4 linked regions of the Notamacropus eugenii genome follow. The protein of the gene in region 2 interacts with the protein of the main gene of each other region in a pairwise test. Links are inferred from orthologs where the notes say so. Each region holds a gene or a part of one and is shown on either strand. Other genes may lie near its edges.

Region 1 (7,475 bases), on a different chromosome or scaffold from region 2:
AAGCTATAGTTGCTTATAGCTGTTTTATCTTCTATCAGGCAACCTTGAAAATGTGTTTAATTCAAATGCTTTTTATTTGATTCTCAACATCTTAAGTGTTCCAGAACTAAACATTTTTCAAGCACCTAACTTTCTATAAAGTTTGTATCTCCAGTTCCTACAAGGGTGCCTGGCACTTTTTTCTTTTTTTTAACCAGACCTGTTATTTCATTGATATAGGGAACTCCCACTTAGGAAACTCATTTTATCAATGCATATTAGCACTCTGTCAGCAATTTATAGTACCTGGCACAAAGCAGGCCCTTAATAAACACTTGTTGAAATGGTTACAATGTTTAATAAGCAGTCAATTCAAAAAATGTTATTCACTGTATTATTAGTAAATTATGTAAAAATTTTAAATTTTGCAAACAAGACAACTTGGGAAAATGTTAAGCAGTCCAATAGCTTTATGGCTAGAGATATGAAAAACAGCACAAAAACTACTTTAGAGGAGAGGTTCTTAAGGTAGGGTTCACAAACCCCCTAGTGGATAGATTTCAGGGGGTGTGTAAACTGGAACTGGACAAAATTACATCTTTATTTCAACATAACTTATTTTCTTTGTAATCCTACGCATTTAATGCATTTAAAAATATTATTCCCTGAAAAGTCCATAGGCTTCACCAGATTGCAAAAGTAGTCCATGACACAAAAAAAAGGTTAATCACTGAATTAGAACATACCCATCAAATACACTTTAAAATTATCAGTATATAAATTTGCAGATATGATCTACATTATTTTACACACAAAAGTAAACTAAAAAATATCCAAGTTGTCATTCTTTGGGAAACGTCCCTAAAAACAATTGCTTCCAGTAATGCACTAAATTCCTACGTATCAAAAATGTCAAATGTCTTGATGTCAAATGTTCCAAATGTCATGCGCTACTTAATACGGATAGTATGATATTACACTTTGTCCAGAACTTAAACCATTTTCATTTCTGGCAACCTCTATTAAAAAGGCAAAGTATACAGATTTGACTTACTGATGAAAATAAAAGTGTTTATTTTTCTTTTAATCAGTTAAAAATGGTATTTCAATAATCAGCTTCCACTATAGCAACACACTTCACTGCTTAATACAATATAGTATGAGCATAAGAAACAAAGAGTTTTTAACTATTAAGTCATATCTAGTTCGATTCAAACATTTAATAAGCACCTATTGCACTTGCAAGGCATTCTGCTTGGCTGTGTGGACATAGGAGTGAAAAACTAGTGTCCTCCTCCAAGAGTTGTGTCTACTGGACAACTTAGAATCTACTGGCTGTCATTTAAGGAAAAAAAAAGGCTTTGTGCATCTAAACCTCAATATTCTCCAAAAATGTGTCCTCTCAGCAAATCTGGCAAGAGTTCACAGATTTTATAAACTTCTTAAAAACTTTTTACAATCACATCAATAGTCCTGACCAATCATTTCTATTGTCTGAAGTTCTATCTTCTACAATCTGTTACTTTAAGAGATTCAAAATTTGAATATTTTTTTAATCCTAAAGGTACAAAAGAAATGTCCATGCAACAAATCCATGTACTTTATATGAGATCCGTTTTTTTCTTATAAACTGGATACATTCCATCTTCTTTCCAGAAAGCGGAATTTATTTTGTAAGGGAGCTACATTATGACACAGTTTGGATTGAATTTACAATATTTAAAACAAACACGGAACAATACATTCTGGTGTTAAATGAAAATTTTTGAAAAAACACCGATATTCTGTTTCACCTTACAATTTTAAAAAATCATACCACCAAAATACAGACAGCATCGGACCATCTCCCTTCAAAGACCACATGGACCTACCTGGACAAAAAGCCGTTTCAGAACTCTACATGACTTCAAATCCCCAAACTGGAAGTTCACAATGGTTTTGTTTGTTTTTAACCAAAGACGAAATGTCCGGCAGAGAAAGAAAAGGTACTTACATTTGTAGCATGACCTGATTCAAGAAGACACCATCCACCAGGGCTACATATTCATCCAGATTGGTCCCACTTCCTGCAGCCAGAGGTCCGAATGTTTTAACCTAAAATGTAATGGCCTTCATCATTAAACAAACTCCGACCTCCCTCTCTGCGGCAAGATGCATCCCCCGCCCCCAGACGAAAAGTGCCTTAGGGGGACCCCACTTACCCAAGTGACCAGGGGGCTGGACATGAACTGTTCCAGGAGTGGAGTAAAAACCTCATTCTCCATCTTACAGATGTGTGTGTCGTTCGTGGTTTGTTTTGTTTTCTAAAAAACTAAGCCCAACGTGGGGGGGTAAAACAAAAAGAATCTTCCACGGGGATGGGTGGAAGGTCGCTAGTTTTTTTCTTGGAATCAATGAAACCCCATTTCCGCAGAGGAGCAGAAGCTCCTGGTGGAGAGGGAAGCCCCGTCCCTCCTCAAAGCAGCAGAGACAGCCGATCGCGGAGCCCGGGGTCCGGCTTCAGCCCCCGCCAGCAGCCGCCAATGTCTGCACCAGGCGAGGAGGGGCAGGGAAAAGGCATCTGGAGGGGGCTGGGGCTGAGGAGACAAAAAGCCCCGCGAGCTTCCCCGGCTCCGGGAGGAGACGCTCCGGGGGGAGCTCCCTTCCCCGAAACCAATCGGCTCCCGGCGTGAGCGAGCGCCCGAGGCAGATGCCCCGCCGTCCGCGAGGGCTCCGCGGAGCTGAGGAGACCGAGCGGGGCGGGGAGGAGGGGAGGGGGCGTCCGGGGCTGCCGAGCCTCCCGGGCCGCCGCCGCCGCACACCAGTCAAAGGCGACGCTCTCCCCCTTCCTCCTCCACCGATACCATGTCTCCTCTCGTAGCCCCAAAACCTCGCTGGCTGCCCCGCTTCCCCTCCCAGGGGTGGGGGCTCGGCGCTGCTGTCCTAACCCGGGGCCCTCGGCGAGTCTCCCCGGAGCTGAGCCTGCCTAGGCTCAGACACGCAGGGACTAAATCACGGCCGTGCCCACCCCCCAGCCGCCGCCGCCGCCGCCTCCTCTCCTCCTTCAGGAGGAGTCAGAGTAACGGCTCCGAACCGCAGAGCCGCATCACCCTCTGAAGCGGCTTGGCACACGCCCGCCAGCCTCCCTCCCGTGGAAGAGAACGCGCTCGCTCCCTCCGCCCTCGATATCCTTCCGCCTACTTTCCTCTCTTCCCACCCCTCCCCGCGCCTAAGCCTCTGGATTGTGGGAGAAGAAAACCGCTGCATGAGCGCGCTCCCGAGCGAGGCGCGCTCCCCGGCTGCCGCCGCCCAGGGCCAAGGGAGAGGCCGGGGGAGCGCGCGCGCGCGCCCGCCGCAGCTGCTGCAGTCCTCGCCTGCCGCCTCAGTCAAAAGAGGTGCCTGGGGGGATGGGGGATGGGGGAGGGGAAGAGAAGGAAAGGGCTTTTCTGTGTCTGCCCCTCTCATCCCCGTGATGTGTCCACTCTCTCTGTCCGACTTCCTCGAATTGTGAAAGAGACGAACCGCATTTTTATTTTCTGTTTTAGAAATGGGAGTCCGGTTATAGGTGCATTTGATCCCGTGCGTTCGCGTCCCCCCACCCCCGCCCCCACCCCCCCGCGAAACGGCTAGAAGGAGGCTCGGGTGCTCGGAGTCACGACCCCGTCACTTCCACCCAGCCCGCGGAGGGCCCATGTCCTTGACAATCACAAGGAAAGGAAACACAGATCCTAGGACCAAAAGCACGCGTTCACACCCGAGGCTGCGCGCAGCGCCGCGACAATGGAGAGCCGCCGGCCCTTCCTCGTACAGACTACTCTCCCGTTAAAAGTAATGACAAAAACCGAGCCGAGCCCCCCTGCGAGGGGGCGCTGGGGAGCAGCCCGGCGGGGTGATCGATGAACCGGGGGTGACTACGCTTCTCGTCGTCAGTCCGGTGCCCACCCAACAACAGCCTCCATCTCGCATCAGACACAGTCTTCTCCTTACTTAAAGACAGGCATTTCTGGGGAATGCTTTCTTTTGAGTGGGGGAGATAAAAGGAGAGATAGAGAGCGTGGCTGGTTGGGTATCTGCTAGCTGGGTTGCCTCTGTACAGCAAGCCACAAGTCCCCTGGGCATCAGTTTGCCCGCCTGTCAATGAATCACAAGCACTACGTGCCAGGCACTGTACTAACTGCCAGAGATACAAAGAAAAACAAAACAATGCAGACCCTCAGGGAGCTTACATTCTAATATAGGAGGTATGCAAATAAAGAGCTAAATGCACCACACACAGAGTACACGGACCTTAACCTTGGAGAGGAAGGCACTAGCAGCTGAGGGGTCAGGAAAAGGCAGTTTGAGCCGTCTTGAAGAAAGCCAGGGATTTTAATGGGCATCAGGGAAGAGGAAGAACATTTCAGACATGAGAAAGAGCCACCCAAAAGACCTGGAGACTGAAGATGGGGTTTCATGGAAGAGGAGCCACAAATAGCCTATAGCTGGATCATAGTATATGTGCAGGGGAGTAAAATGTAAGACTCTAAAGGCAGGAAAGGATCAGGTTGTGAAGAGCAACAGGGGACTTTATAGTTGATCCAGGAGTCAACCCAAAGTCACTAGAGGTTCTTGTGGAGAGAAGTGACTTGGTTGGACCTCTACACTTTAACAATATCACCTTGGCAACTTTGTGGAAAATGCATCAGAAGGGGAAGAGACCAATGACCTCAGCTGAAGTGGTTGTTTTAGAACTGGATGTCCCACAGGCATCTTCAGTTCAACATATCCAAAACAGAACTCATTATCTTTTCCTTCCTTCAACCCCAGCCCTCCTTCAGACTTTCTTATTAATGATAAGAGAAGCACTATCCTTACAGATATCTAACTTTGCAGTCTCAGCATCACCATCAACTCCTCACTCCTATCATGTCCATTCAGTTCTCAAATCTTGCTGTTTCTATTTCCATAATATTTCTTGGAGACACACACACACATACATATGTGTATGTGTATACATATGTCTTCTCTCCACTCAAGTAAGTTACCACCTTAATTCAGGTCCTTGTCATTTCTTCCTTTAATTGTTGTAATAGTTTACCAACTTATGTGTGTGAGATATGAAAACAGAAAGTTACCTGAGTAAACAGTGGTACCCTCAACAGTAATGGGGAATGTCAAAAGAGAGAAGGATTTGAGGGGAAAGATAATGAATTCCATTGAAGGGGTTTGGACTAGGTACCTCTAAGGTCCCATCTAGCTACAATACTATGGTGCTAAATTTCACTGTAAATGCTTCACTATACCACCATGAAAAAGAAGATTCAATGATGAGTCCCTATCAAGGAGGGATTCCCAGTAGATGGTGGGATCTTCCAGATGACATTGTGTTGATTGCATAAAGCCCCAAGACATGAGCCTCTTGAAAAAGATCTGTAATCACTCAAAGGAGTTTGCCTTTTCTACCCACACAGGAAAGACCAAATGAATGAAGACTGTTTACTGCCCAGATTTTGACACACATGTTATTTGGTTGGTTGGTTGTTGTCCTTCGTCTTCAAGGAGGACCAAAATAACATCACCATGATAAAGTGAAATTTCAGTGTGTCCAACTGTGGCATGTGTCACATACATGTGAATGGATACCCAATAGAACTTGTCCAATAGCATGTATATCTGGAACAGAAAAACAGATGAATAATGAGCTGGGCTCAGAGTCGAAAAGGAGGAAAGGCTTATAGAGCTTTCAGGAGATTGCAAAGCATATTTATTGACCCTCAAGCTTACCATAAGAGTAAAAGCCCATCTTTTTAATGCAAACATTTTCAGGAAGATCTGAAACACCACTCCCTCCAAAAACTAAAGACAAGTAGTACCAAAAGAGGCAATGGAAAGATTCAAGGTGGGTATTAAAGGGCTGCAACATAAAAACAAAAGAACAGTTGTAAAAGATGTCAGCAAGAATCGTATGAAAGAAAGACAAGATGGACTTGTCATATGTCCGGAGTGAGAGGTAGATGGTCATGTGCTCTACTGGCACTATTGTATAGTTTAGATTCAAGGAAGACCTATTCTGCTTGTGGATAGATTCCTGGAGGTAAAATTTTAGGAGGAAGAAGACCAGAGTTACATAGGATGGGAATCACTAGAAGAAACTTCCAAAATAACTAGTTGTCAGATCCATTCAAATGTCCTTCAAATGATATATGATTTCATCAACACGGATACATTCTCCATCAGTGACCATTGCAACCAATTGCACCCTAGTGAACAGCCTTCATGATCACTTATGCAAAACCTACACTCCCATCCCCATCTGACCTACCACAAAATTCAAGACAGAGATTACTCTTTGTTTCAGCAAACAGTATAAAGTATAACTACTTTACAAATAAAATATAAATTCTGCTGCTTCCTGATGTGAGCAAATCACTTAACTTCTTAGAATTTTGGTCTTCTCCAGTTCAATAATTGAGATAACATATTATATAGCACACAGATTTGTTGTGAGGATCAAGTAAGATTATTTGAAATTTTGGCAAGCCTTAAAGTATTATATAAAATGTTGGCTAGACATTATTATTTGTTATTACTAATAACAAATGAACAAAGGAATTTTTAATCTAATGGTTAGTGAAGGGAGAGTTATAGAAGTTGCATTAGTTACATTAGCCAACCAACACTCAAGGAAATCTGGGTTCCCCCAAATTGACCAGGCAAGCCTAGGCCTTTTCGAACCTACCCTTGATTTTTCTCCTTTAAAAAATGGGAAAAAGAAACTTGTTTGTTGAAAAACCAGGAAACTTTAGATCACAATAAGGCCTGGTGATAAGTATCTAAATATTCTACAATTCACAGATAGCCTTAATTTAACAATAATGTAAAAAAAGTTTTTTGTTTGAATAAAATCCTAAATATCCAACCAGGTAATATTTCTAAGTCTGACCAAGGAACTACTATACATTTATGATCTGAGTGCCTCAGAGATACAGATATATTCATGATTAGAGTTGAAGTTCTACAGGTCATAATTGATTCTTTGGGATTGCTATCCAAGTTGAGACCATGACTGGGGGAGAGGGAGATGAGCTGGAGCATTAGGCAGATTCCAGTTTGGATTCTCAGTTGTGTTTCCAGAAACAACAAGCTAGTGGCTGCTGTGGAGTATCTGTTGAAGAGAGAAAAGCCCTTTCAGGCATTTTTGATGTGAGATCAGAGACTAACTTCTGATCATTGCAGATTAGGTTCTCCCTAGACCTTTTCTCTCTATAGAGCCAAGCACACTGATGGAGGAGGTTGGAACAGACTGACATTACTGTTGGTGGCTTCTTCTTTCAATCAATGGGAAGACAGGGAAGATAACTCCTTTTCCCTGGATTGCTTTCCACATGATTTTTCCCTAATTTTTAAAAAACTCTTTCTGTTGTTTGACTTTTAGTCTGTGTCAGTTGCCTATAAGTGATCTGTGACTCACATTTCATAATTAATTGCATGCAGGGGGAGTGCAATATACTACACAGTGACCGAAATAGTACACACAG
Region 2 (8,104 bases):
TTCCCCACAACCACTAGCAAAAGTGCAGACCAAAATGAGCACAGGATCTCTGAAAGCAGAAAAGCCCCCAGGCCACCAGTCCTGCTTTCATATCTGATTATGGTTGTATCATCCAATGACCCCTTTGGAGAAGGGGTCATTTCCACCAACTGTCACTCTCACAGAAGGCATGTCACGCAGCAATGTGACACCCTGAAGGAAAGATAAGAGGCATGTTAAACCACCACCATTATATTGACTATCATCCCTTCTCAGACCCTGGTGGAGACACCTAGGATCCTGAACCTAAGAGCCTGGGAATAGCAATGCTTCCAGCTTGGTGACCACAACCATCATTCTGGAAAGCCACCCTTGCGGAGATTCAGTTTGACAACTGTTCCTATAGGTGTGCCAGGTGTTTAAAAGACCTAGAAAAGAAAGTTCTTGCCACCAAAGTCCTTGGCCCTGTCAAATGTCTCAACATCACAAAATGATCTGATTTTATCAATGGAAATATCATTAAAGAAGTATTAGCATCTGCTTTGCCACTTCATCCTAAGGATCATGGGACCTTGTCATCTGACATTGGTAAAATCTACATATGTTCTCTCCCATTAGAATGTGAGCTCCTTGAAAGTAGTGACTGTTTTACTTTTATATTTGTATCCCCAGTGCTTTTGTAGCTTGTAGCACAGTGCTTTTCACATATTAAGTACTTCACTCATTCATTCATTCCCTACTACAACCATCTATTCAAATTCTAACCATTCTTCAAAATCCAACTGGAGTCATAGCTCTTCCCTGAAGCCAAGTCCAAATGGATCATAAATCAAAGACTTAGAACTAGAATGATCTTAGATGTCACCCAGTCCAACTCTCATTTTACAGGTAAGGAAACTAAGGCCTAGAGACGCTTCCTGGTCTACCCAATATCAATTAGTACTATTCCAGCCCATGTTGATTTTTCCCTTAGATCTCTCTAGTATTTAATGTACTATACAATCTGCCACTTAATCATATTGTTCTTTCCACTAAAATCTTAATCTGATACCTCCTCATGGCACAGAGGTGACTCTAAGCTCTCTATGTTTGTGGAATGTAAACTCTGGCAGGTCTGGCATCAAATGGAAGTCTGGCTATTCTTCTGTATTTCTGTCAACTGAAGACTAGCATAGCTAAGTAAGGAGACCCTGAATGCCAGCTTAGCTACCACATACATTTTTTTTATCTACAGTACTTCAAACACCACAGCTAGGACAGAGAAGTTGTAGTCTGTCCTGGAAGAGCTAATGCCTGTCACTAAGGAAACTAAGGATCCTTTAAGTATTTTTCTGTATGTATTTCATTTATTTGTCTTAACTCCTCAATTATACCCTAAGATTCTTTGAAGGCAGAAACTGTCTGGTATTTAGGACTGCAGATTTTTAGCTGGAAGGGATCTGAGAGATAGTTTAGTCCAACTTTTTAATTTATAGATGAAGAAACAGGTCCAGAGAAATGAAGTGACTTGCCCACAGTCAAAAAGGTACCTAAATGGAGTCTTGTACAATGCTGGGCATATAGAAGATGATCAATAAATACTTGTTGATTTGGTTTAAAGTGAATAATGGTAAGAAGGCTAAAAGGTTTCCCCATAGTCAATATGGCACACTAGCAGGAATTTTATCAGGAGATCTCTATTCTAGACCTGACTGCCCACTACTTCAATGTAAGACCTTAGGCAACTTACAAAATCTCTGAGTTTCAGTTTTCTCTTCTGTAAAATAAGTGGTTTGTACTAGATGAATTCTAAGGTGCCTTCTACCTGTAATAATTACTGATTCTAATTAGTTATGAAACAAATGAGAAAATAGATCTCGTGGAGGACATGCAATTTAAACAGGAGATAGTGTTTTCCTACTCAGCTGGAAAAACAGGAAAATTACAAATTACTCCAAAGGTAAAAATACTCAGTTGGCCTCTGGAATAGTACAACTCTGGTAATACAACAAACGTTTCTAGCTAGAGCCAAAGAGTATCTAACTCCTTCATTTCAAACATGAGGAAACTGGGGTCTTTGAGAGGCCAAGGGACCCATCCAAGACCAATTACATTTGCTGTGGGATAGCAGCAGTACCAGGTTAGAACCCCCGGTTCTTGACTCCTACTCTGTGCGCTGGCCACCACTCACTTTTGCCAGGGAACATTTGCGGGAACCACGCATCATTCCTTCTTTGCTGCAGGGAGAGTGGAGAATTCAGGATGCACTCACATAAGGGAAAACCCAGACATGCTCTAGAGCAGGAATTCGTAATCCTTTTTTGTGTGAACATCTTTTGCAATCTGCTGAAACCCATGTATCCCTTCCCAGAATTTATTTTAAAAATTTATAATAGAAGAAGATACTAATTTTCAGATGAAGGTTAGTGAAAATAAAGATGCAGGTTCTTTTCCCCCATATCCAAGTTCAAGGTCCCCCTAAAACTGATCCGCAGATCCCTGTGGGAGAGGTGTCCACTGATCTCAGGTTAACTCCCTGCAGGGCTCAGTGGAAAAGGAAGACTCTGGAGGTACGAGAAAAAATATCTGGCCTCTGACAATGGCTAGCTGTGTGACCCAGGTCACTTCACCCTGTTTGCCTCAGTTTCCTCATCTGTAAAATGAGTCAGAGGAGGAGATGGCAAAAACCACTCGGGTATCTCTGACAAGAACGCCCCAAATGGGGTCAGGAGGACGCTGAACGACAAAAATGACCATTATCCTGTCAGGAAGCTAAGCCCCGGACCCAGGCCCGCGCGGAGCAGGAGCGGAGAAGGCGCGGCCTGAACGCTCCCCTCCGGGCCCGCGCGGGGGGCAGGGCAGGGGCGACGCCGGGGAGATGACGGCCGCGTCTCTCCGGGAGAGGAGCGGCCCCGAGGGGCGACCACGGCCCTTTCCCAAGTCACCGCGCACAGGCCGCGGCCTCCGCCTCCCCCTTACCCGAGCCGCGCCGGGCAGGCTCCTCCGTGAGGGCACCGGGCTGGGGCCGAGGACGCGGCAGTTAGCCGGAGAGCTCTCTCTCTCTCCCTCGGGCTCCGTCTCTCCAGGAAGCTGCGGAAAAGCTCCGGCCCCGCCCATTTCCTACATCCGGTCACGTGATCGGGAGTCAAGCCGGAAGGAGGAACCACAGAGAGGGAGGGAGGGAGAGGCAGAGAGAGACGCAGACAAACACAGAGCGAACCAATAGGGACGAGGCTGGGAGACCCGGGAGGGGGCGGGGTCTGGGGCAGGCCCTCTATCCCGTGGACTTCTGGTCACTTCGCCCTGGAACGGGGCACCTTTGGGAAATCTGTAGTCACCCTCTCAGAATAATATTTTTAAATAATTAAAGGGAGAGCTCAATTTGCTAGTGAAAATTTAAACCCAAACCCCTCTGCCTCAGGATGTAAGCTCCTTGAAGGCTGGGACTGTTTCCTTTTTGTCTTTAATTCCCCATCGCTTGGCACCTCACTTGTTGATGGATTTGGGGTCTTCCAGTTGAATGAGGAAACTTGCTCCTACGGGGGCTGTACCACAGATGGCTACAATGTTTCATTCGCTGAGACACTCAGAATGTTACTAAGTTACATTAAGTATTGTATCTACCTTGTGTAAAGCACTGGACGAGGTGCTGCACCTACAAAGATTAAAAAAAACACGCCTTTGCCCTCGTGGGATTTACAGGAAAGCATTATGGTGACTGAAGCTTTGAGATGTTCTTTGCCTAAGGTCTGAAATTTAAACAGAGATACTTATTTTGCCAGTTTCTTTTTAATTTTGTTGAGTGATTTGTTCTTTTGGGGGCACATGAGATGGGGGTAGATTTAGAATCAGGAGGATCAAGGTTCAAATTCTACGTCAGACCTCGGTTGACAACATGGCATGCTGGTCTACTCAAGCTCTGTTCACCTCAGGCAAATTCCCTATGCTTTACTTATCACATGATCAAAGGAGTTTGTTCCTCACCGCAGAAAACACCTTTTCGCCTTGTTGGCTGAATCCTTGCTGTGGTCCGTCAGGTAAAGATCACTTTTTTCTGGGACTAAAGACCCTCCTTTGCACTGAGAGGACCTCAGTCCAACCTCACTGCTTATCCATCACTTGATGTTACCACTTATCTTTTGGAATGGGAAGGGCTCTCCAACTGGAGGTTCACTGCCAATGCTTTTGTCTGCGCACCCTTGTTCTCTCTCTCTGGTCTGTCTATGTGTGCTGTACACACATATATCCAGAAGAACTCCTAGGCGACCTTTAATGTTGTTTATCCCTGAAGTTGTTCTGAGGATAAAATTAAAAGAATCCCTTGTTTTCAGGGATCAATGACATTTAGTCTAGCCTCTGGACTACAGTGCTTCCTTCATGTTCTTTTTTGTATCTGAGTTCTGCCCTTCAACAGACTAACTCAATTATTTTATCAGGTAGTAGAATTCTGTGTAATAGGTGTTTGACATTTCAAATGTTGCTTTTTATTATTATTTTATTTTTTATCATTTCTATAAGTAGAAAAATCTAAAGGGCAGAAACTATAATAGTTGGCATTTATATAGACTTTAGGGTTTGCAAAGCACTTTGTATATCTTATACCTCTTTTATATCCCTAATGCTCTATATAAAATGGGATCTTTGGATTTAGTTAACTGGCTGATTTAAAATGTGCCCAGTTTTGCATTCCCTCATGCAGCAAACATTAAGTTCTATACCTATTTTGTAGATGTAAGTCTTAACAGCTTCCTTTTATAGATGAGAAGGTCACAATTTGAACCCAGACAGTCTTATTCCAAATTCAATTTTATTTATTAATGATGAAGGAGGAAAGGAGAGTTAAAAAGCAGGAATAGGCAGCAATGCAGTGGAAAGACCTCCATCCTTATACAAATGAACATAAATTTGTGTAAATTATACCATGGATAAAGTAGAATTTTAGAACTGGAAGAGTCATTAGAAATCTGCCTCCAATCCATTCCCTCAGTTGTAATTTTGTACCTGAGATTAATTAATTTTGCTATCAGTAATATTTATTGGAATAGAGAGTCTGTCTCTAAAATGCCCAAGAAGTTTAAATAAAGGTTCTTGAAATCAACAATGTCCTTTCCTATCATTTCTGAGAGCAAGTTTCTCCCCAGACAATCCACAATCTACACAAATTCACACAATGGGACAGAGGTGTGAGGGTCCTGGCAAACAATTGAGTAAGCAGGTCATATTACTTCAGAGTACAATCAGGCATTTGACCTATGAAACAACATTTTTTTTCCTGGTAGTCTGCTATCTACCATCAGCATGCTGCCTTGGAGATTTGCTTGACTTGCTTGGTGGCTTCAGGATTAACAAGAATGAAAATATGGGTAGATGGAGATATTGTGCCAAGCCCTTTGGGCTTACGGAATGACCTTTCAGAATGAGGAAAGGGGGCTTATTTTATCTCTTTCCCTGTAGAAACAAGTCCAACTCTACAAATCTGTTCATGCCCCCTTTGAGTCCCTTATTCAAACTCCATTTGATTGTTGGTTGAAACAGGTGGCTGAAGTCCCTTAAGGAGTATAAAATTATGAGTTTATCATTTTTCCTGGGAATTGTTTTCTTTACATTTCTTTTTTACGCTTCAAATTTTTAGCATTGTTCACTTTCATGAAAGCTAAAAGACTTCCTAGCATTCTTCATTTATCTATGTATCTGCTTAAGGAAGGAAGATTTTCACAGATGTCAGAGTACTGATGTCACTGGAAGCAGTACATAACTTCCTTGAAACAATAAGACAGTGCGGTTTATAGAATTATTTATTTGTAAATGTCATGAGATGGGATGGGGGAAGGGACCCAAACTTTGATGTATTTTATGGTAATTTTAGACTTTATTGCAAATATGAATGCAATGTCACTACATGGGCTGAACCACCCCTCTGATTTCATTCATTCAGTCAACAGTCAACAAACATTTATTAATGTTCCAGGGGTTGTGGTGAGTGCTGGGGATACAAGGAAAGGCAAAAAACAAACCACAACAAAGTTGGGAACTCAAGTTGAGGTTGTTAACACCCTTTACCAATACAAATCGGCACCTTTTCTTCCCTGTACAGTCTTCTACAGTTGTCCAGGCCACTAAGAATTTCAATGACTTGCTTAGGGTCAGCCAACCTATATGTGTCAGAGTCAGGGACTCTAGGACTTCCTGCCTCTGAGGCTGCCTTTCTATGCACTTTACCAGACTACTTCTTTACCACTACATAATTCTTTTTAAAAACTATATTGTAACTGTTATATAAAAGCATATTCCTAAGGAGGGTCAGCTTCTCCACTAAATACGGGTAACAAGTACTGCCGTCTAAGTGATTTTTGTGAACATTTTAGATAACATCTATAAAGTATTTTAAACAGCAAGATAGAAGCCATTCAGAAAAAGCCAGACATATCTATAAATAAGAGAACTCTAGAAGCTAGATTAGCATTGTCATCACTAGGAGTATTCCCGTAGAGGCTGGATGAGTATTGGTGGGGTGTATCTTAGAGGAGATTCCTGCTTAGATAATACTTGAACTAGATTATCCCCAAAGTGGGCACTAGGTGGCACCATAGTGCTTAAGTCTGAAAGATTCATTTTCTTAAGTTCAAATCCAGCTTCAGATACTTACTAACTGTGACCCTGGGCAAGTCACTTAACCCTATTTGTCTCAGTTTCCTCATCTGTAGAATGAGCTGGAGAAGGAAATGGCAAACCAGTCCGGTATCTTTGCCAAGAAAACCCCAAATGGGGTCCTGAAGAGTCATATACAACTAAAAACGTCTGAACAGTAACCACCCCTAAGATATCCACTCTGAAACTCTATGATTTTCGTGATCTGTCTTTATGAGACTAAGAATATGGAAGATAGTGATATCATAATGGCAACATGATATTTTACAATTATCTATTATTTCTGAGTAGAGCAGTCCATGGTTCTGAACCAAGACTCTTTTAGAATAGTGGTTCTCAAAAAGCCTCAAGGGGCTTACTGACTGCTTGCTTAAGAATCAATGTTTAAACTATAACATTGTCAATACTTTTGTTTCTGGAAATAATTTATTTATAAAATGTTACTTACAACATATTATTACAAAATGATTTATAACACAATAAGCTTTTATTGATGTCTTCTGTTTCTTACATTATCATGGTTATTCCCAGTGTTCTTCCCCCTCTTCTTCCTAGAGAGCTATTCCATATAACTAATAGTATTTCTTTTAAAGTGGAAAAAAATCAGCACAACTGGAAGATACATTGAAAAAAATCTCAAAACATGTGCCATGTGTAACACCTGTGGGAAGGGATGTGCATCCTCTCATATTTCTTTATTCAAGTCCCACTTGATCTATATAATTTTATATTCACTTTTTACTTTTTTACTGTCTGTTCTTTCGATTTACATTAATTACTGTATATGTTGGTTTTTTTGGCTTACGTGTTTTACTCTGCATTAGTTCATATAGATCTTTCCAGGCTTCTCTGTATTTATCACACATGTAATTTCTTTTTTTTTTTTGGTTGATTTATTTATCATTTATTTTTTAATAATTTTTTTCTAATTACATATAAAATCAATTTTCAACATTCCCTTTTTAAAAATTCTGTGTTCCAAATTTTTCTCTCCAAGATGGCAAACAGCTTGATATAGGCTATACATGTGTAATCATGTAAAACATGTTGTGAAAGAAAAAACAGACCAAATAAACCCATGAAAAAAAGTAAAAAGTAGTATGTTTTGATTTGACTCTGTCAGTTCTTTCTCTGGAGGTGGATAGCATTTTTCATCCTGTTTGGATTTGGATTTGTTTTGGATCATTGTATTGCTGAAAATAGCTAAATTATTCACAGTTTATCACCATGCAATTGCTGTCACAGTATACAATGTTCTCATGGCTCTGTTCATTTCATTCTTCATCAGTTCATGTAACTCTTTCTAGGTTTTTCTGAAAGCATCCTGCTTGCCATTTACAATAGCACAATGGTATCTCATCATGATCATATAACGCAGCTGTTGGATCATTCCCCAATTCTTTGCTGTTACAAAAAACAACTGCTACAGATCCTTTCCTTTAAAAAAGGATGTTGGGATACAGACCTAGTAGTGGTCTTGCTGGGCATGCATGGATTT
Region 3 (7,030 bases), on a different chromosome or scaffold from region 2:
CAATCAACAAATACTTAAGTGCCTACTGTGTGCCATCACTGTGCTAAGCACTAGAGAAGTCTGAGCTCTACTCTCAAGGAGCCTTACAGAGCTTGTAGAACTGGAGTCACAATCTGGACACGAGGCAACTTGCTGGGCCCCAAGGATCCTGGATTGTTCTCCCCAGATCCATCAGGCCTACACTTAGGTCTAGGTGATGCAATGCAGACCTTTGAGACTGAGCCTGGCTGAGCCAGCTCCAGTCGTGAAAAGCAGAGCAGGAATGAGAAACCAGGCTCAGCTGTCTGAACCCAACTGTTTCAGTTAGTTACTGGCCAAGCTCCCAAGGAGGCAACCCCAAGGCTCATCTCACGACCACTAAAATCAAACAACAGGCCAAAATAAGAGTCCCATGGAAACCCTTTCACAGAAGAGGGGAAGGGGACACAGAAACCTATACCTCCAGCTCAGTTTCCCGTCTGTTGATGTCATCCGTGGACTGGTTTAGTTTCTCCAGTTCCCCCTGGGGAAAGAAGGAAACAGTTTAAAGCAGGGACTCCTAACCAGAGGGGTCTGCAAATCTGGAATGGGGGGGGGGGGAATATGAAATCTCTATCTTCACTAATTTCTAACTAGAATTTAGCATTTCTTTCAATAACATACAAACATTCTTCTAAGAAAGGAAGACATCACCTGACACCTTAAACATGACTCAAAATGAACATGACTCAAACAAAGGTTAAGAATGCCTGATTTAAAGATTTATAGTTTTGTTTGCTTGTTTTTTTTAAAGTAAAGCTAGTGTATTACCTGGAAGCAGACACAAAGGGAACAAAATAGAAGATTAAGGGAGAATTATTAATCCTGACAGCGATCCCAAAGAAAATAGCTCAGGCTCTAGCTGGAATGTTAACTAGAAACAGAAACATGGATGAACTTTCTCATGTTTTAAAAACCTTTCCATGAAAGGGGTCCCTGGTTAAGCGGGAAGAGGAGATGGTGAAACCACCATTTAAGAGTGTATGAGTGTGTTTGTGTGTGTGTGTTTGTGTAAGATTTTAAGACTAAGTCTTTTTTTTCTGGTAATCCCACCAAGGGTTATTTCTCTTTGCTTACAATGCAAAGACTTATTCCAGGAACCTGACTTCAGAGTAGTAGAATCTGCTACCCTGGCATGGGTGAGTGCCCGAGAGCTAAGGGTTGATTGACTATCTTTTTAACATGGTAAGAAAGGAAGCCTGCAAGTCCAAAAATAAATCGAGGTCAAGAATCTACCCAGCTCCCAAAACTGTAAATCAAAGGCCTGACTTCTGACAATAGCTCAGAAGGTGCTGAGGGCTTTTTTCTTCTTTGTTAATGAATGGATTAAAAACAAAAACGGTGCGAGCTAGCCGATGGCCTTAGCGGTTCTTACACCGGAGAACTTTTATTATGACCCTGTCCCTGGCACTGAAAATTGGGGTTTGTAAAAGAGAGAGTTAAAGTTGTGTGATCGATACTCCGGAAACAAAGAACCTTGCTCGGAGCCTCAAAGAAGGTGGGAAGCCCTGGTTTCAAGGAGGAGAAATTGAATTATTTTCATTCAAAAGCCTCATTCTCGATTTCCCACCTGACCTTTATCTTGCTAATCGGTTCCAACAATTCATTCAAACCCCATCCATAGAGTTAAATGATCTTTTAATTGATTAGTGAACTGAAAAACCAATTAGGGCTCAAAAAAATTGCGTAAGAGCTTTTAAGCAATAGAAAAAATGACCTCGGGGTGGAGGAAGAGGCAAGATCCTGGAAAACATCATTTATTGTATTGTGTTTATGAGTTAGGTGGTTCTAGGAGAGGGAAGGTGAGTTCTCGAAGCCAGATCTCTGCCTGAATTCTGACCTTACTGGGTTTTTAAACTTGTTTTTAGGAGTCAGAAGCCAGAAAGCTCCCCTTGCCCCATATTTCGGCAGGGCGGCTCTAAATCCCTCCTGTCCCAGCCACCTATTCGCTGACCACAGCCCCAACAACAAGGAAAAAACCCAGGGTTTGCTGTAAGGACTCAGGCCAAGGGGCTGCTCTGCAGCGAGAACCCCACCGAAGTGACAATGAAACCACGCGGGCTAACAATGAATTAGAGGAAAGGGAAGACTTTCCTATGGGGATGCCCCGATGACTCACCCCACCTGGGGTCGGGGCACCTGCACACTCGGCTAGGGAAAGCCGAGGTCCTGGGCAGAATGGGTCCCTGAGGGACATCTGCTCCCACCGCGACGATGCCCATGAGGGTGGGGGCAGACCCTGGTCACGGGACGAGTCCTCTCGGTGCACGAGAAAAGGAAGGAGCCAGGACGTTAAGCAATTTCGTGGCCAGACCCAGAGCTGAAGCGCTACAACTAGGCACTGACCCAAGGGGCAGAGCGAGGAATTAAATCTCCCACCGCCAAGCCAGTGCGGGGCCGGGAGCCTCCCACTAGCCCCCCCCATTTGTCCTTTGTTGTCCACCTCCCGGTGAACCGCTATCATCTCCATCCCCAGATGCTGTCGGAGGGGGCTGCCAACAGCGGGAGCCCACGAGCAGCGCGCGTGGGTGCGGTAGGCGAAGTGGGGAGGCCTCGCCGAGGAAGGGGTGTCCGGACCCCCGCCACGTCCCCCCAAACCCCAGCTCCGGCCCAAATCAAGCAGCCCCCTCCCCTGCCTGCAGTCCACGCGGGCGTACCGCACCCACTGGGGGAGGGAGTGGTTCAGGGTGGGGGTGTCAGCTCGGGCTGGATGGGGGTGTACGAACCCGGACCGCCTAGAATGGGGGTGCAGCAACCCCCACGGACGCCCCCCACCTCGTACCTGAATGCGGGGGTCTACCTCCTCCTCCTCCTCCTGTTCCATCATCTCGGGCTCCATCTCGTCCTCGTCCTCGTCCCCCGTGGGTGGCGGTGAAGGGCTCACCTCTGCCAGCCGCTCCTCCGGCCGGCCCCGCTTCGGCGCCGCGTCCATGCGGGCAGGTTGGGGTGCAGCACGGCCCCGGGCCGGGCGCCCTCGGGAGCTCTGAGCGCCTCCGGAGCGCAGCGGTGCGGAGCCTGCCCGTGTGGCCCTTGAGCGCGGCGGACACCCGAGACCCCGGCAGCGTCCAGGAACGCCGGCTGGCCAGCCTGCCCCGGGAGGCTCGTCTTCCCCTCGGGCCGGGCCGCGGCCGCTGGAAGGGGAGGAGGAAACGCGGGCGCCCGCCCCTTCTGCCGATGCTGTCAGCGCAGCATCCCGGCCTCCTCCCTCCTCCTGGGCAGCCCTGCCCCCTCCCACTCTCCTGCCCTGCTGTCGGGACCCTCGAGGCCCCCCGGCCCGGCCCAGCCGGCCCGCCCGAGGGACGCAGCTCCCAGCGGCTAATGAGGGAGCAGGGGCTGGAACTGAGCTTTGGTTGTAATTCTGTATTGACGGTGCAGCCGGCAGTCACTGCCGAGCAAGGAGCCCATTGGCAAAGCCTCTGGTCCTAGCTGGGGGCAGAGTCTCTTGGTTATAGGATAGGTGACTGGACAGATAGTTCCTTATATGTTTATACTTATAAATCCGTGGCTACATATGGGACGCGTAAAACTACCTACACAGTTATACATACCCCGTAGTTACAAAAGTTATGTAATCATATGTAACTATATTGATAAGGATAGTTACATATACTACGTAACTATATCGTTATAAATATGTTAGGTATAGTATACGAATAACTATGTAGTGATATACTGTGTATAACTATAACTATGCATATCGTTATAAACATATAGTTTTTATGTAACTAGATTGTGTACATATATATATGACTATATGTGTGTATATGTATATACATACATACAACCTAAGTATCTTTTAAAATGCCTTTTTAGAGAGGGAAGAATCTGTTTGTCTCACTATTTAACCTTGGGTAATGGGGCAGCAGGAGACACCTGGTTTCTAAACCTGCTCCTGCCACTGGAGCCTCATGAGTTAGAACAGGAAGGAGCCTTAGGGATCGATCAAACAGTCCAAGAGATGAGGGCTGCTGGGTGGAGGTATCTCTGAACTTGGCGGGGCGGGTATCCATCTTATTTTCACTAATCTCCAACCGAAATCCAGCATTTCTTTCAACTACTTAAAAACTGTGACTCTAAGAAGGGGTCTATAGACTTTTTCAGATGGGCAAAGCAGCATATGAATCAATAAATATTTATGCTTAATATTTATGCCTACTATGTACCAGGCACCCAGTGCTAAGCCCAGAGGATACCAAAAGATACCCCACTAAAATGGTCCTTGATACAGTCCAACCCATGCCAGGTGCTGGGGATACAAACCATAGGCTCCTACATCCAGACTTGGAAGGGCCCTCAGAGAAGGAAACTGAGACCCAGGTTGAGATAATACATTGAAATGCTTTACAAACCTTATATAAATGCAGCCTGTTATGCTTGAGTCACATGCCCAAAGTCACACTAATAGTAAGCATTCAGGAGGGCTCTGAAGCCTCTGTGACTTAATAGCTAGTCTTTCCACACCTACCCTCAAGACAAAAAACCACAGTCCTGGCCCTCAAGCATCTCCCTTTCTATATGGAATACATTTTTATAGCTGAGAAAACCAGGTGCAGAAGAATGAAGTGACTTGGCCCAGTTAGGTATCTGTAATCTTGTTTCTAATTGACCCTCCTGAGGGGTTTGGACTAAAAGGTCTGAAAGTTTCCTTCTCATTCTGTATCGGTACCTGGAATGGAGCCCCCCAGTATGAGTCTATGGTGCTCCGTTCTCCTTCATTTACCTTCTCCAATCATCCTCCTTCCAGACTTCAGTCAGACTGTTCGTGAATATCTCAGATTGGCCAGACCAATTTCCTGATACAAAGGGGTGAAAGCAGGGATGTGCTGGTAAATGTTTAACACCCAGCTCTCCTGTGGGGAAGGAAATGTAGTTAGACACATTTTAAAGTTTTATCTGCATTATTAACATTTTTTCCATCACTTTCTCAAATCTAGACAATCAGCAAATCAATACATCAAGCCATAACTTGTAGTTTGCCAATTTCCAAATTATGAAGTCTCACCCTTTAAATAGTCTGGATTTGAACTTGTGAAGATGAATTTTCCTGACTCCAAACAGGGCACTCTATCCACTATGCCATCTAGCTGTCCCAAGTTGATCCATAGGTCCATCCATTGATCTGACCTTTCCAGAAGCAATTAATCAATCAACAAACATCTATTTAGGCCTACCACGTGCCAGGCTCCTTGCCAGGCTCTAAGGACAAAAGTACAAACAATGGAATGATCGATACTCACCATGAACTCATGTTCCATTGGGGAGACAAGAAGGACATTTAAAAATAGATAAAACATAATTATAAAATTTATAAATACATGTTGACAAATAGACTAAATACAAAGTAGTTTGGGAGGGAGGCCACTAGTGGTTGGGGAGATCAAGAAAGGCCTTATGCAGAAGATGGCACCTGAGCAACGTCATAAAAGAGAGGGACTTTACGTTGGAAAGAATGGATTTCATGAATGTTGGACAGTCAGCACAAGAAGATGGCCTGGAGATGGGAGGAGAGTTGGTATTGATTTGATTACTCTACCCAAAGTAAGAGATAAAAAGGTACAGGACACCTCGTAGTGACCAGACCAATACAAGAGGGCTGGATGGGATGTGCAGTCTGGTCTGCTCTGGGGCCTGTAGTCACCAAGGGGAATTCTCTCACCAATCCCAGCTGAGGGTCAGAAGCCCAGCCTAGGGCTGGAGCTCCAAAAGCTGAGTAGATTCACTCCCCTAGGGACTTGGGGCATAGTTTCTGGAAGTATCAGTGAACCACTTCTTTACCTGGATGAAACACTGGAGAAGGACTTTAGTGAAACAATTGTCCATCTCTCTGATTCATTTGATGCCAAGTCCTCAGTCACAGGCACAATCTTAAGCATAATATAGTTGTTACTAGAAAATACAAACTGGGAGCCAAGATGGCAGAGTAACAGCATGGACTTGCTAGTGCTTTCCCCCCAAACCTAGCCAAATATATGTAAAAAATTACTCTAAACAAATTATGGAGCTACAGAACCCACAGAATGACAGACTGAAGCAAATTTCCAGCCCAAGACAGCCTGGATGGTCTCCAGGAAGTGTCTATCATGCCACACTGGGAGCAGAACGCAGGACAGTGTGGGCCATGCCAGCACAGATGGGACCTGAGCAAGCCTTGGAAGGACTGAATCTCAGGCACCTGTGGCGATTTCCAGACTTCATGACCCCAAAATGCTGAGGACAAATTGGAAGGTCAGTGGAAAAAACCTGTGAGACCAGTGTGAGAGAGTAGAGTGGTCTGACCCCAGCCCCGGGGTGGTGGAGGGGGTGGAGCAGCCTGCAGAGGAGGAGCCCAAGGCAGCAGGAGCAGGGGCAAGGGCAGCAACAGAGACTGTTTCTGGAGCTCTAGGTCCACAAATTGTGAGGGGATCAATCAGCTGACAGTACACCCCCAACACCACTGGAATCAGAGAACTACTATGACAAAGAGATCACGAGTCAAGTAAATGGCTGGGAAAATGAGCAAAAGCAGAAAAAGAATCAGACTATAGAATCTGACTTTTGTGACAAGGAAGACCAAAGCATACAAACAGAAGATAGCAAGGTCAAGGCTCCTACATCCAAAGCCTCCTAAAAATATATGAATTGGTCTCAGACCATGGAAGAACTCACAAAGGATTTTGAAAATCAAGTAAGAGAAGTAGAGGAAAAATCAGGAAGAGAAATGAGAGTGATGCAAGAAAATCATGAAAAAAGGAGTCAACTGCTTGCTAAAGGAGACCCCCCCAAAATACTGAAGAAAATAACACTTTAAAAAATAGACTAACCCAAATGGCAAAAGAGATCCCAAAAGCCAATGAGGAGAAGAATGCCTAAAAAGCCAGATGGAAGAGGAGGTTTGAAAGCTCACTAAAGAAAATAATTCCTTAAAGATTAGAATGGAGCAGATAGAAGCTAACGGCTTTATGAAAAATCAAGAAATTATAAAACAAAGCCAAAGGAATGAAAAAATAGCAGACAATCTCATTAGAAAAAACAA
Region 4 (7,250 bases), on a different chromosome or scaffold from region 2:
CTACCCTGCCCCACTCTCTCCAATCTTTCATCTCCATCTGCCTTTCAGAAATCTTGAACTGAATGTCCAGTAGACCTCTCAAACATGTCCCAAACTGAATTCATTATCTTTTCTCCTAAATTCTCCCTCTTCTCCCCTTTGCCCTAACTTTTCTATTACTACAGAGATCAATGTCATGCTACTAGTCCTTCAGGTGAGCAACCTGGACCTTACCCTAGTCCTCACTATCTCTCATACCCTCCCCATATCTAATCTGTTGCCAAGGTGTTGATTTCACCTTCAAAACAAATCTCAGATGCCACCTTCTGTCCTTTGACATTGCTACCATTCTAAGTTCAGGTGCTCATCACCTCAAACTTAGACTATTCTAGTATCCTTCTGGTGGGTCTCTTCACTCCAGTCTATCCTGCATTGAGTCACCAAAGTAATTTTCCTAAAGTGCACATCTGATCACATCACCTCTCTCCTGAATAAACCCCAGTGGCTCTCTATGGAATCTAGGATCAGATACAAAATCCTCTATTTGGCATTCAAAGCCCTTCATAACCTAGTCCCTACCTTTCCAATTTTGTTACACCTTACTCCCCATCACATTTTTTCTGATCCAAACACTGGGCCTCCTGGCTATTCAAACAAATAAGCTGCTCTGGGCACTTTCTCTGGCTGTCTCACATACCAGGAATGCTGTCCCTCATTATCTCCATCTACTGGTTTCCTTTTTTTTTCTTGATTTAAAATTTTTTTTTTAACATATAATTTATTTTCAGTTTACAACATTCACTTCCACAAGATTCTGAATTCCAATTTTCTCCCCTTCTCTCCCCAATCCCTACCCCTAGACAGCAACCCCAAAAACCCCTTCTCCCAATCTGTCATCCCTTCTATCACCCCTACCTTTGGGCAAGACAGATTTCTATACCTCTTACCCAAACATCTTATTTCCCAATTGCATGCAAAAACAATAGTGGCTTCCTTTTAAGTCCCTACTAAAATCTCATTTTCTACAGGAAGAAATGAATTCTAGTGCCTTCCCTCTGTTATTTCTTATTTATCCAAAATAAAGCTTGCTTGCACTTATTTGTTTACTTGTGGTCATTCCCTGTAGATCTTGTTCTCCATGAGGGCAGGGATTGTCTTTAGCCTCCCCAGATCTTGGTACTGTGCCTAGAACCTAACAGATGCTTCATGTTTGTTGACTGACTAAATAAACACTTGGCAGTCATAATTAAGCAGAGCGGAGAGAAGGTGCTTTTTACTGAACTGAAATGACTACTTCACTACACCACAGAGAAGACAAGGATGGGGTATGGTAAGACTAAAGTGTTTTGGTTTTTTTTAAAAGATTTGCAAAATGCTTTAACTCTACTGAAGTAGAATGTATAGTCCTTGACTGAATGTTTCTATTACAGAGCACAGTGTATAAAGTAGATCATAGGATTTAAAGTTAAAAGAGACTTTGGAAATCATTTGATTCAACTCTTATTTTACCAAAGGAGGAACTTTAGCTCTGAGAAGTTAAAGATTCGCCCAGGTAAGTGGGGGGAAAATAAATATTTATATAGCATCTATCTGTAAAGTACCGTGCTAAGGACTTTACAAATATTATCTCATTTGATCCGCAAAACAACACTGGCATTATCCCTTTTTACAGCTGAGAAAACTGAGTCAAACAGAGGTAAGTAACTTGCCCAGTCTGAAGTTGGATCTGAAGTCAGGTCTTCCTGAGTCTGGGTCTACCCTTTTATCCACAGGACCACCTAGCCGTCTCCCATCTCTAAAAGCTTCTAATCTAAAGGAGGGTGGGGGAGAAGGGCGGAAGATTATTATAAAAAACACAAGAAAAAGTATAAATGCAAAGGACTGGTCCAAGAAAAGTGATTTAAGAAAGGGATGGAGGTGAGGGACCCCCAGGGTACCTCTATGGGGAAAGGTCTTCAGGAGGAAACGTCCAGGGGCTGGCTCTGGAGGAGAGGGATGGGCTTCAACAACACCTTCCCAAGCACGGAGGACGGTGCGAGGAGTCAGGGGCCTGAATTCAAATCCAACCTCTGCTGCTTACTGCCTGGGAAAACCTAACCTCCACTGACCCTGGCTCCTTCTCCATCAAACAAGCGGCCTCAACGAGTCATCTCTGGATCTGATCTCCCACGGGGGCTGCCTGAGCCTGGAGAGGCAGGGGGGCGCCGGGGGTGCCGGGGCCCGGGCTGCCAGGGGTGCCAGGGCCCGGGCTGCCGGCGCCCGGGCTGCCAGGTCTCGGGGCGCTTTTCCTACCTGTTTCCCCGGACTATTATTCCGAGTTAGTGTCCCGGGGTCGCCGGCCTCGGGGGCAGCCGCTAAGGACGTGGTTTTAGCTGAGGGAAGGTCCATCTCCGGATGGACAGGAGGACGTTCAGGTCTGCTCTAGAAACAAAACAGGAAACAAACTAGGTTCCAACCTCCAACCACCTCTCCCTCCCCGGACCCGAGCCCAGTTCTGAGGCCTGTCTGTGACTCCGGTGCCGCGGCCGAGGGGGGCTGCCTCTGACCCGAGGCTTCGGGCCACCCTGGGGCCGGGGCCCGCGGCTCCCAAGCTCCGCTGCAGCCCCGCCCCAGCCCGGCCGGAGGCGCGCTCGGCCCCGGGGCGGCCCAGAAGAACCCCAGGCCCAGCTGCCTCAGCGTGCCTCTGGGGAGGGCGGTTCCAGCTGCTGGCTGGGCCGGGACTCCGGCCTCGGCTCAGAAACGGGGTTCGTTCCTACTCGCGGGCCGGGGACACACGCTGCCGCTCCGGTCCGAGAACGCACCTGAGGCGGCGCTTGCCAGAAGCGCGGGCCGCCTAGGAGAATGGGCCCCACCCACTCCAGACAGAGGAAACGGCCTCGCTGTACGCACGCGCGCTGGGGTGGGGATTACAGGCCACCGGCATCCACGCCCCGCCCCTTCTTCGCTTGGCGGGAAACATAACCAAACTCGAGACGAGACATCATTGGTCAGCCGAGCGGAAAAGGCGGGGCAGGAACGAGGGGGGCGGGGAGGGGCGGGGCTTTTGTTTGCTTCCTGGAACTCCTACTAGATATTTAAAAAGCCTACCTCGGCGTTTGCGCGCTTTTATTCCGCCACTCCCTAAAGAGCTACGTAAGGACGTCTAGGCCCCGAATCTTGGTAAACGTAGTCCAAAGCTGCCACCGCGTCATCCCCTCCGCTTCAAGTCCAGCTTCCACAACAGAACGGATCGGGGCCATCTCCCTTTGCAGCCGCCCGGTTACACTCGACGAGGTCCAAGAGGCCGCTAGAATCCAAGGCAGAATTCGAACCTATTCGAACTTCGGCCTTGCACACGCCCTAATTCACAAACCCACCCCCTCCATCTTCTCCTGAAACGGATCCTTGGCTCGGACGCCGCTGTGCCCTCCTTCCCCGCGCAGTGCCCCATGGGAATTCCCTAATCCCTGAGATCCCCTGGCCCTTCCCCCTCCATGACTTCCTAGTGCTTTGGGGGTTAACTCTCATAGCCTGTGTTACGTAAGACGGAGGCGTCGTCTTGGAAGTGCGGCTTGGCGGCGCAGTGCGGGGGAGCCCCGGCCCGGAGGGGAGCCCCGGCCCGGGGTCGGGGTGTGAGCTCTGATGTGGCTTCTCCGCTCCGCGGTGTTACCCGGAGCAAGGCCTCTGTCTGCCTCAGTTTCCTCAAATGTAAAATAAGTTGGAGAAGAGAATGGTGAACCACCCAGTGCTTGACCGAGAAAAGCCCGGGAAAAACAACAGTCCGCGGGACCTGGGAGAGCCGGGTAAGCCCCGGGTGGGAGGGGAGAGCCGGTCTTCTCCCCCCCCAAGCCTTCCACCAGGCCCAGGGGAGGCCCAGCTTCAGGACTCCGCGGGGGGCGGCAGAGCGCTGCCCCTTACGTAAGGGTACAAGTGCATTTGTGAACGCGCCTGCTCCCCAGCAGGGATCCCACCGAGAAGTGGGGAGCTGAGCTGGAAAGTGGCGTGACGTCCCCGCAGGCCTGGGCAGCTCCGAAGCCGAGTGAGCGCTTCACCCCAAAGCAGACGCTTGTGTGAGGTGTAGACCTTCGAGGTACAAGCTTACCTTCGGAGACTCCCCTCACTCTTGTTGGGGGGCGCTTACACACTGATCCTGGGTTTATGATAAACACTTATTGTTTACGCTCAAGCCTGTAGCTGTCAAGGTTGGTTATTACCAAGAGTATCTTCTGATTTATCCATCAAAAGGCCACGGCTCTGACCCCTGGAATTCCCCACTCCCCTACCCATTTCCTGGATCTCCCCCTCCCCTTGGGAATGGGACCCTCTGCTTCCTTCCTTCCTTGGACCAACCTAATTCCTGCCTTTTCTCCCAATTCTTTATATCATCCTACCCACTGCTCAGTTGAGTTGTTCAGCATTAGGCTGACGGCTCCCATGCACGTCTTATTTCCCTGCTTAATAAAACCTTTAATTTCATAGGCATTGTCTTTCTCTGGTTTTCTTCCCTTTAGGGAAAAGGGGGATTTGGATCTCAAGAATTGGCCTTTGTGTTCTCAGGCTGTTTTCCCCTTTTGGGGAGAAGAGAGATCTAAATTCCCTAGAGTGCGCTCCAGTTTACAAAAAGGAGCAACCCCTTTGCCACACGTGATTTCCAAGCCTAGCCCACGTTTCCCTGAACTTTATATGCACTTGTGGCAGTACTCCCGTTTGGGGGGATGGGAGGAGATGTTTTGCACTCTTCTTAATATACTAGCATAATCAATACTTCTTTCTAAAGGTTAAGTCTGGCTAGCTAATTGATAGGACCTCATAATCAGTTGGGGGCTGCTGGGCAATGGCATTAAAAAGAAACCCCCAGTCACTCATCTTTACACCTTGAACCCTCAGGAAAGAAGTAGGCAGCCACCCTCTAGAGGTTTGCAGCTTTCCAGGCTGCCAGAGGCAAAAGGGCTTTGAGATAAGAGATAGAGAGGCTGCACTGATAGAATGGTAGCTGTTCTGATCTTCACTTTAATAAGAGAGGAAGCTGAGAGATGATGTCCTTTGCCCCTGTTCACAAAAGAGCCAAAATCTGGACCCAGATCCTCTGATTACGTACAAATCCATAGCAATTACTCCAATAAACATTCAACTGTATCCCACAATTTTTTTTAATTAGAAAGGAGTTCCATTGGTGAAGACAAGATTAATTCCATTACAGTTGTGAGCTCAAGTTGACAGCAACACATTGAAGTAAACATTTGCTTCAGGCATTAAGAGACCAAAATGTAGAAAATATTGATTTGAGAATCTTCATAATCAGTAGAGAGCTGATAGCACAAGCTCACTGTAGGAGTAAGACATCCAGAGGAAGGCTCAAAGGCCTTGTGGGACATGCAAAGAGGAAGCATCAAGCTAAGGAAACAGAATGAGTGTAAAGGAGAGGATGGGTATGAGAACAATCTGTAAAAAAATTATGCAACATTCCATACAGGATATGATTTTTATTAGTATGGAGGGAAACCTAGAGAGCAAGGTATAGAACCTTTTCTGCTGATCACTCTCCCCTCACAGACCATAATCACAGGCCTCAGGACTGTTCTGAAAATAGAGATCCATGAAATTTTGATAAGTTTTCTCATCTGTCAGGAAGGCTGATACTGCAGGATCCTTCTTCATGGCTGCTACCCAGAGCTTCAGTTTTGAAGTGTGGTCGATACAACTGAGAGAAGAGATTTTTTTTAAAAAAAGAAGGGAGTTATTACTTGCATGAAATCGGAAAGCACCACAAATTTTCACATTTATTAGTATTTTTCCTTGCAGTTTATTTCATTTTTTACTATAACCTTTAAAAAATACTTCCCCACCTTGAACAGACCATCCTGTACCCCTGGCCACCCTCTCTAGGACTGGGAAATGTGGGGGAGCAGTATTGTGGGGATTCTTTTTCAGCAATGAGTTAGACTAGATGGAGCCTGCAGTCCCTTCTGGGTCTGAATTTCTGTGTTTTTCTCATTTTCCCTATCATAGTGGGTTAGAAGGTGTGAGGAAAGGTTCATTTAGACCCCTACTCTATTCTAATCAGTATTAATAAATTTGATATTTTATGTAAATCATATATGGATAATTAGAAAAGATAGGTTCTTATAGTAGGCTTCCAACTTTAATCCAGTTTTTAACACTTGTTTACCAGTTACAAAGCTCACTTGCACACCCACAAGAATGCTGACAAAGATAACTTCATCCTGTTTTGCTCAAATTCCAAGTCCAAACCCAGTGTGGATGCCTTAATTCTTTGGAAAGTCTCCCCAGCTAATTTTTGTACCTCCAAACCACTCTCTCTTGTCCCAGAAGGTAACCATCTTATGACTCCTTAGTCACCAAAGATGACTATTGCTTTGCCATATTATGAATAATTAGTCAATAGAGACGTTGTGTGCTTTACCCAACCTAGGATCCCCTTGCTGATAAACTGTTTTTTAGTTGACGCACCATTTTTGGCCCTCAAAACAAGGTTTATCAACCAATGGGATTTTGTATTTTGTGTCGCCTCTCAAGCGTCCAGGTATCAATCCTATATAAACAAGGTCCTGGTGATCAAGGGTGTCTCCAACTGCGAGGAAGATATGAGGTCCACTTCATTAGAGGGGGCCATGGACCCTTTAATAATATGCTATTGGCTTGGAGCTGTGACTGAGGGACTTTTCTTGCAGATTGGACAATTTTTGATCCCACAGAGGAAGAATAGGTATACGCCTTCCTTACTCTTATTTTCAAATTGTCCCTTTCTTATCATCATTCAGCAAGCATCTGCTTCTTTGAAGTTCACTACATCCCTCTTGATTATCTGAGTCCAAACTTTGTCTTGTGTCCAGATTTTCACATCCAGATCATTCTACCTCCTTTCTTTTCCTCTTTTCTTCATTTCCTTTTATATATATATATATATATATTTTAAAATTTAATGGATTATTTGTTTTCAGTTTTCAACAATCACTTCCATATGTTTTAAATGTTTTCCTCCTCCCTTTCCTCTCCCTCCCCAAGATGGCATGCAATCTTATATGGGTTCTACAGTTATATTCTCAAAAGTCATGTTGCATAGAAGAATTAAAACAAATAAGAGAAACCATGAGAAAAACCAAACCAAACCAAAACATAACACAAGAGAAAATAGTCTGCTTCCTTCTGCATTTTGATTTCGTAGTCCTTTCTCTGGATGTGGATGGCATTTTCCCTCGAGTCCTTTGGGAATGTTTTAGGTTCTTGTGTTGCTGGGAAGGGCTAAGTCTATCAGAAACAGTCCTCGAACA

The links.
Region 1: the proteins of EXOC1 (region 2) and CCDC88A interact in a two-hybrid assay, tested with the Homo sapiens proteins (2 studies listed by BioGRID and IntAct). The link is inferred for Notamacropus eugenii from reciprocal best matches to the Homo sapiens genes EXOC1 and CCDC88A.
Region 3: the proteins of EXOC1 (region 2) and SH3BP5 interact in a two-hybrid assay, tested with the Homo sapiens proteins (2 studies listed by BioGRID and IntAct). The link is inferred for Notamacropus eugenii from reciprocal best matches to the Homo sapiens genes EXOC1 and SH3BP5.
Region 4: the proteins of EXOC1 (region 2) and SFR1 interact in a two-hybrid assay, tested with the Homo sapiens proteins (2 studies listed by BioGRID and IntAct). The link is inferred for Notamacropus eugenii from reciprocal best matches to the Homo sapiens genes EXOC1 and SFR1.

Annotation. Positions count from the first base shown.
Region 1 is NC_092872.1:650,806,420-650,813,894, reverse strand, and holds the start of CCDC88A (girdin), read right to left. Parts: upstream 3,119-7,475; 5' UTR 2,244-3,118; coding exon 2,181-2,243; intron 2,074-2,180; coding exon 1,973-2,073; intron 1-1,972. UniProt on the Homo sapiens protein: Bifunctional modulator of guanine nucleotide-binding proteins (G proteins). Acts as a non-receptor guanine nucleotide exchange factor which binds to and activates guanine nucleotide-binding protein G(i) alpha subunits.
Region 2 is NC_092877.1:107,216,293-107,224,396, reverse strand, and holds the start of EXOC1 (exocyst complex component 1), read right to left. Parts: upstream 3,168-8,104; 5' UTR 2,938-3,167; intron 1-2,937.
Region 3 is NC_092874.1:38,577,352-38,584,381, reverse strand, and holds the start of SH3BP5 (SH3 domain-binding protein 5), read right to left. Parts: upstream 3,190-7,030; 5' UTR 2,951-3,189; coding exon 2,801-2,950; intron 503-2,800; coding exon 440-502; intron 1-439. UniProt on the Homo sapiens protein: Functions as a guanine nucleotide exchange factor (GEF) with specificity for RAB11A and RAB25. Inhibits the auto- and transphosphorylation activity of BTK. Plays a negative regulatory role in BTK-related cytoplasmic signaling in B-cells.
Region 4 is NC_092872.1:182,660,363-182,667,612, reverse strand, and holds the start of SFR1 (swi5-dependent recombination DNA repair protein 1 homolog), read right to left. Parts: upstream 3,174-7,250; 5' UTR 3,067-3,173; intron 2,918-3,066; exon of another isoform or gene 2,661-2,917; intron 2,401-2,660; 5' UTR 2,368-2,400; coding exon 2,272-2,367; intron 1,962-2,271; exon of another isoform or gene 1,917-1,961; intron 1,790-1,916; exon of another isoform or gene 1,689-1,789; intron 1-1,688. Other genes in the region: glutathione S-transferase omega-1-like, read right to left, coding at 5,506-5,659. UniProt on the Homo sapiens protein: Component of the SWI5-SFR1 complex, a complex required for double-strand break repair via homologous recombination. Acts as a transcriptional modulator for ESR1.